2 linked regions of the Caenorhabditis elegans genome follow. The protein of the gene in region 1 interacts with the protein of each later gene in a pairwise test. Each region holds a gene or a part of one and is shown on either strand. Other genes may lie near its edges. The genes, in order: mlt-3 and nekl-3.

What was found.
Region 2: the proteins of mlt-3 (region 1) and nekl-3 interact in a two-hybrid assay, tested with the Caenorhabditis elegans proteins (one study listed by BioGRID).

The regions. Positions count from the first base shown.
Region 1 is NC_003282.8:12,225,296-12,229,226, reverse strand, and holds the start of mlt-3 (SAM domain-containing protein), read left to right. Parts: upstream 1-2,114; 5' UTR 2,115-2,174; coding exon 2,175-2,486; intron 2,487-2,638; coding exon 2,639-2,707; intron 2,708-2,760; coding exon 2,761-2,859; intron 2,860-3,022; exon of another isoform or gene 3,023-3,043; intron 3,044-3,931. Other genes in the region: sre-18 (Serpentine Receptor, class E (Epsilon)), read left to right, coding at 1-30, 84-236, 281-456, 909-1,042, 1,092-1,170, 1,217-1,315.
Region 2 is NC_003284.9:12,389,304-12,393,234, reverse strand, and holds nekl-3 (Serine/threonine-protein kinase nekl-3), read left to right. Parts: upstream 1-1,760; 5' UTR 1,761-1,762; coding exon 1,763-1,927; intron 1,928-1,972; coding exon 1,973-2,061; intron 2,062-2,108; coding exon 2,109-2,193; intron 2,194-2,235; coding exon 2,236-2,344; intron 2,345-2,389; coding exon 2,390-2,517; intron 2,518-2,966; coding exon 2,967-3,155; intron 3,156-3,243; coding exon 3,244-3,315; intron 3,316-3,368; coding exon 3,369-3,440; 3' UTR 3,441-3,603; downstream 3,604-3,931. UniProt on the Caenorhabditis elegans protein: Probable serine/threonine-protein kinase required for the completion of molting.

The sequences.
Region 1 (3,931 bases):
TTATGTTTCGTGCATTTATAAAATCCCCTCGTGAGTTGAATCGTGTGTAGACTTGTCTTTAATCGTGAAAACTAACTTTTTAGCTCTTTTTGCACTGACTGCAATAATGTTGGAGCGTCTTTGCGCAACATATTATGTGAAGGATTATGAGAAAAATCAGCGGCCAATCATTCCATTTTTGATAATAATTTTTCTAATAATACTATCCTTTATAGCATCAACTGTCTTTACTTCTGGTAGGGTAATATGTTATGAATCAAAACGTTAATTGGATTTTCAGTTGGTATGGTGTTATATTTTGGTGTCTGTCATTTCTCATTTATTTTTGTATGCTACATTGTCTCAGTAATAACGTATCGAACAAATCGAAGGTATTACTATAATAATCGTGTAGACCAACATTCATATTCATTGGGAGAACGATATCAAATTTCTGAAAATCTTCGGCTTTACATGGTGAGCGATACAATAGAAGTTTAAAAGGATGTTTTAAAGTTCAGCATTATATATTTCTTTAGAACAGACGGTTAACTAACTAATAGTAAGTGCATTCCATACTTGCCATGGAAAAATATATTATGACCGACATTTCGTGAGTAACTATTAGTAAAAAGTTTCTCGAGTTTTGCAAACATTCTTCGAAACACTGAAGTTAAAAAAAAATGTAAATTCGAATTCCCGCCAAGGTCTCAAGATCTCGAAGCGATAATAGGATTCACTCCGCCCGCAAAATGTACGTATTCTCGGCGACGTAGAATTTAACGTTGAGGACTGCAAATTTGGGCATGCATAATATATTCTTATTAGTCAATGATTATTATTGTTACATAGTTTTTTTGTTCAAAAATGCGCACGTACAGAAAATTCGATAATTTTTCAACATAAATTCACAAAATATATGTTTTCAGTTTTTCTCGCACTACCTTTTCGTAATGGCTGTTTTCCCCATCATTTGTACCTTAACCATTGTCCTCGACTCTTTCAATTCAAATTTTTTGTTACGAGAAATTTATCAAATTATTTTTGATTTAAGTTTCACATTGTAAGTTCATTTAATATTTTCTTTGCCCATTCCCAATAATTCGTCACAGATTATGCTTCCTTGCTCCTTACCTGACATACAAAATGAGTGAAGCATGGCAAAATGAGCTTCATAGAATATATGTCAAGGTGAGTGACTAGTCATTGTGATCGGTCATACTCAAAATTTTTTCAGATAGGGTTGAGAAAACCGAACAAAATTCAAAGTGTTCGATATAGTTCGAGGAAATTGAAAGGGACATTTGGAGAGGATATTAATGTGGAAATGAATTAGCACACTGATGTATATTTTAATCAATTGAAAGCTTCATGGGATGATTTATCATCGAATGCTGTCAAAGATACAGTTAGAAATTTAAATTGAATTGTATTTCTCTGATTTTCAATGGTTTTTCTTTGTTTTTTATTCTAAAAGTTTTTCAATATAACGTTGTATTTATAGCACCATATGTATGAAACTTTGGCGAATTTAGACAGATTTTTAGGTGTTTTCAACATTTCCCCCTCAAGGTCTCGTAGCAAATAGTGTCGCAAAAAATTATAATATCTTTAAAGCCCCACCCACAAAATGGCTCCACAGAGCTACATTGGTGTGATATAGCGGTATTTCAGAATTTATAAACAGCTATTCATTTATGACTATTTCAATGCTAAATTTGCAAATTCATCTACCGTTCTAAATTTGCAAATTCATCTACCGTTCTAAATTTGAAAATTCATCAATTGGCAACTTCGGCAATTGACGAAATTGCCGAAATTGCCGAAGGTTCGATTACCGAACGGCAGTTGGCGAGCACCCATAATTCGCAATCTTGAAAGTATAGTTTTGATTGTTGTTAGACGCGAGTTTCAAAAAAGATTTAGGTTGAACCGGAAGTCTTTGTGACTGGTTTCCTGTCGTTTCTCTTGCTTCGAGAAATAAATGATTGAAAAAGTCACAAAGACTTCCGGTTCAACCTAATACAATTATTATTTTTTATCATGAGTCATCCACTTTTTCCCCCTCAAAAACTGTCCTCTCTGTGTCTACAGTCTCTCAAATCACGGGAAACTAGTTCCAAAATGATGATCTCATTTTCTATCTATCAACATTATCTTCTTATTCTATTTCTTCCAACATCTTATTATTGATTATGTCGTTTCGTGTCCGTTTTTCACAAGAACGTCCCGGAGTCACATATGTTCCATCGAGTAGATCTGGCAATACTGACCTTTTTAATGATATTTTCTCAAAACCAATGCCAATAATTCGAAATGAAGATCATGTTCTTATGGATGCATGTACTGCAGCAAGTATTGGAGATGAGAATAAACTTAAAGAATTAATGAAAATTAACCCGAATACAATGATTATGAAGAATCATGATGGATGGACGCCACTTTTGTATGCTGCTTATTTGGGCCATAATAGTGTTGCTGCATTTTTACTGGATAATGGCGCCAAGGTACGAATTTCAAGAAGTTTTAACAATCAGTGACAATTTTGCTGTAAAATATAAAAAAATGAACCGTATTTTTTCAACCAAAAGATCTTGAAAGATGATTCAAAATTCTTGAATGATTGTCTCCCCAAAAATTGATTTTCTCTCAAATGCAGGTTGATGACTCTACAGAAAGCCGCTGGCAAACTCCGCTGATGATGGCTTCAGCATGCGGAAATATTAGCGTCGGTTTTATGATTTTTGGAATCTATCAAAAATTTTTAATTATTTTTCTCAGGTTGTTCGATTGTTGTTAGGTAGAGGAGCAAATCCCAGACTTTGCGATAAAGAAAAACGTCAAGCAATTCATTACGCATCAAGTTGTTGTCAGAATGTGGTAAGTTATTTTTATAAAAGAACCAAAATTTTGAAAACAAAAATAAGTGGCATATTGGTGGATGTTTTCAAAGAATTTCTGGTCCTTGTTTCTTGGGAAATTGTGTACAAATTTTTTCCTTGTTCGAGAAATTGTCAAATTTCATAAGAAACTGACAACGAGATGAAAAAATGATCTCAACAAAATACTTTTATGTACACAGGTGATTCGCAGTGTAAGCAAAATGCTTCGACGCACACAATGCTCGTGTTTGCGAAAACGTGCGCCACAGTGGCAAGCATAAAGGGCACAATGCGAACTCTCGCAATGTGCGCATTTTGTTTGGCCGTTATTCCCATCATTAAAGTGCTCATTTCAGTTAGTTTAAAGCCATTTTTGTTTGAGTTCTCTGTTTATTGACTGTTTTTTTGCTGATACTAAAGTTTCTGAAAAACAAAACTCTCGATTTAGAAGGAACTTGTCAGATTTCGAAAATCATAAGGGTCCCCCCTTATGATATAAAATTTTTGATGAAATTTTTTTGTTTTGAAAATTTTTTCGAAAACATGGTGAACGTGTAGAAAATGATCAGTTTGATATTTTCTACAAGTGTGAGAGTTCACAATGAATGTTCAGCCAAGAAATCATGGAAAGTCTAGAGTTGGGTCATTGAAACATAGTATGTTTGAGAGCTCCTAACTTCCTTGAGACGTAAAATACAAAACTTTCTTCAACTGAAAAGTTGTCAGAAATCAACTGAACAACGAGTTATTAGTTGGCAATATTTTTCTATCTTGCATGTTCAAGAAGTGGGCACAGTTGAGTAAGAGCAAAACATCACTGACTTCAACAAGCCATATTTTGGCACATTACACATATAAGAAAAATTTTTTATTTTTAAAACATTTTCCATAACAAGCTAAACAAATTTGTAGTTGATCGTTTTTTGATATCTTGTATGTCCAAGGACGCTCACAGCTTCAAAAACATATACTATTTTTTGAACCCTTCAAGAAATAGTCATTTTCTCAGCTAAAAACTTTCTTTCTAACGTTTAAATTGACACAAATAGAGTAAATATCATTTACTACTG
Region 2 (3,931 bases), on another chromosome or scaffold:
CAAATGCGCATTGAATATTGTCATAACGGTGAAAAAAAGTTTCGATTTTAAATTAATTTTACCAGAATTTATATTGCCAATCATAAATGGAAGAGTGCCAATTCTTTATATATATTTTTTCAAATTTAACAATAAATTTTTGGTGCATAAATAGAAATTAGTGATTTTTTTGCATGTTGAAACAAAATTTTGGTTTAATTCCAAAAGTAACGCGCAAACAGAGTGATTGCAATTTTTTGCAAAAAACCTTTTATGAAGTTTTTGGAAAGTTGGCTACTTTTACACTAATTGATACATCTTCAGCATTTTCCACATTGATGGTTGAGAGCTGAGCAAAGTTTACTATAAATAACCATGGAATGACCATGAAAAAGAACATGCCTATTAGTGTTGAAGTACTGTGCTAAGTACTTTAAATCATAACTAAAAAACTATAAAATTAAATTTATTGCTAATGGCATGACGATTGCGCCAATAACCGTTTCAAAATCTAAATTGGCGGGAGACCAAATCACCAGTCATCTAAAAACTTGATCTTCGTCATCACACGCAAACGAGAACACAGTGTAGAAAGATGAAAGACATATCGTCGACGACGACCCAAAGCAAATCAATTATTTGTATCACAAATCTATTGATCAAATGCATCCAGTAGGCAACTTTTAATTTCATCTCCCAATATACTTTTTTCACCTGAACGTTACATTATTCGAAAAAGAAACACATATTCTGTCTTCTTCCATATCAGTAGTTTTTTCGCTGCTCTCGCTCCTTGAATTTTGTTATGAATGCATGAGAAAACTTCTCCCGTTTTTTTCTTCTTTTTTCCCAAAAAAACTTGTGTGAGATATTGAGAGGAAAAAGAGGAAAGCCGAGAAAAATGAATCTCCTTGGCAACTACACAGCATTGAAAATTGCGACGCATATGAGGCTAAACTAGATGTCTAGCTATTTTTTGTGTGTTTTATTTTTATTCTATAGTGTAGTGTGTACCTATTATTTTAAGTGAGATATTTTCTCAATCGTTTCATTTTTCTGTCAGTAGTAGTAGTGAGTCATAGATAGGAATCTGTTCAGATTTGCTGACGTGATAAGATCAGTTATCATCAAATATGGGGATTTAGTTCTGCAAATTTTTCTGAGTCACAAGTAGTAAATACACGGAACAAATAATTGGTTTTCAACAGTTGTCTCAATTAATACCAAAAAGGGGGATTTTTTTAATAGTAACTAAAAATATATATGATACGTATGAAAACTTGACACTAAGCTTAAACAACACTCCCTACACATCAAGAGCCACGATATATGTGGGGATTTAAATATGCAACGTCTCCGTCCAACTGATTGCACCGTCATTTTTTATCCTATCTGCGTCATGCAGATAGACAGTGTAAATGTTAATTAGAAAATAACACACGGATTTTCACATAGCTATCATCATTTCTGTAGAGATAGTGTAAGTTACTAGTAATATCCATTTGAATGTGTAATTGTATCGGTGGATTCGGGGATTGGTCCGAGAAAACAAAAAAATTAGTTTTAAATGTAATGTAATTTTTCCAAAAGTTTCGGTCCTGAAGTATCAGGTAAGATTCTTGTTACTTTGAACATATGCATTTCGTCTGAAAATATAGGTCTTTGATTGTGTATGAAAAATTTTCAAGTTTATAACACATTGTTTTGGATAGACGTCTTATTAACGTTATCAATCATTTTTTTTTAAAGTAAGTTTGAAACATCAAACTTCAATATTTCAGAAATGGACAAAATTTCGAACATCTATAATTTTGACGATCCACCACCGGATAAACTCAGCTTGGAACTATTCATAATCGAGAAGAAAATCGGAAAAGGACAGTTCAGTGAAGTTTTCCGTGCTCAATGTACATGGGTAGATTTACATGTGGCACTCAAAAAGATTCAGGTTTGCTTTCAAACTTTAAGGTGTGCATTTTGAATTAATATTCAGGTATTTGAAATGGTGGACCAAAAAGCGCGGCAAGACTGTCTGAAGGAGATTGATCTGTTAAAACAACTTAATCATGTTAATGTGATCAGGTACAAACGGTGGGGACATCACGTGTTTTTGATAATTCTATTTATAGATACTACGCATCTTTTATTGATAATAATCAATTAAATATTGTTCTCGAATTAGCAGAAGCTGGAGATATGAGTCGAATGATTAAGGTTTTTTTTAATGAGCTGTGAAAACAACGAAAACATTTTTAGCATTTCAAAAAAGGTGGTCGTTTGATTCCTGAAAAGACAATCTGGAAATATTTTGTTCAATTAGCGAGAGCCTTAGCCCACATGCATTCCAAACGTATAATGCATAGAGGTACCCATTTATCATTTTTTAATTTTAAATATAATATCTATTCAGATATCAAACCCGCCAATGTTTTCATAACGGGAAACGGAATCGTAAAGTTGGGTGATTTGGGGCTAGGCCGATTCTTTTCCTCGAAAACAACTGCTGCTCATTCACTCGTGGGAACTCCTTATTACATGGTAAGACCTGGTAATTTCGATCAGAAAAACAAGACAGAAGTAATAATATTAACGGTTTGAGAATTATTTTGACTCGTGTAATTTTTATTGAAAAAACTATAACAAGAAATTGAAAAAAAAAACATGATTTTTTTGTAATTTTCTGAACTTGCGAATTTTCGTGAGTTAGACTTTAATTTTTCAGAACCAATATTTTATATATTTTTGGAGTACTTTTAGTAGTTTTACTTCACAAGTTTTAAACTATTTAAAAACATTAAAAACATTGTGGCATTCGTTTTAAAATAATTTTTGTTTAGAGTTTGTACTTTTCTTTAAGCCTAAAAATGCATTCACACTTCATGTTTTATTTATATCATCAATCAAAATTTAAAAAAAAATCTATTTCATTTTTGGGGTGTGATTACTACAAAAGTACTGTACATCTTATACACTTTTAAAGTTTTCAGTCACCTGAAAGAATTCAAGAATCCGGGTATAATTTCAAATCCGATTTATGGTCGACTGGATGTCTGTTATACGAAATGGCAGCTCTTCAGTCACCATTCTACGGTGACAAGATGAACCTGTACTCACTTTGCAAGAAAATCGAAAACTGCGAATATCCACCTCTGCCTGCTGATATTTATTCAACGCAAGTAAGTGCAAACCTGTGTTTTGTTCAACTTAGGTGTTGAAACATTTGGAATAAGTGCTTTCAGTTTTCAAATTCGAAAAAATTTTTAGCTCCGCGACTTGGTATCCCGTTGTATACTTCCAGAAGCTTCAAAACGACCAGAGACCAGTGAAGTTCTACAGGTTCGTTCCGCGTTAGCCTCTTCAATTTTGATAGCACAAACTTCAATTTAAAGGTTGCCGAACACATGAACAATTACTTCTCGCCTTCCGGGGACCAATCAACAACTCCTTCAACGCAATTCTAAAAAAAGCTATAACATTTCAATTTCAAACATTTTCTTTAAAACGTAGTGTTCTTGTATTTTCAAAAGGTGGAAACATTCGTCAATGACCACGTGAATCCGTGATGTGCTAAATTTTACTCTCATACTGTCTCTTAATTCATGTAGATTATAAATGTTTTATTTTTATATAGATTTTCCATTAAAAAACCAACACCAAAAAAAGCTTAAAAAAACGTTGTATTATTTTAAAAGCGCTGTAATGTGTAAATAATAAAAATGTAGGTAATCTATGTACGTTGGAATGGTTGTGCTTACCTGAAAGCTTCAAGTTTTTCAGACCCTTTTCGCTAGCTAAAATATTTTCTGATCACAAACCACAAGATCAGAATTGTTACCGAACATTGCGGTTTTATGGATATCAGCGTATTAGCAATTCAGTTAATCTTGTTTTGCAAACAGCTAAAAACAAGTTTAATTGTGTTTTTGTCGCGTAACTCACCATATTTCTGAGT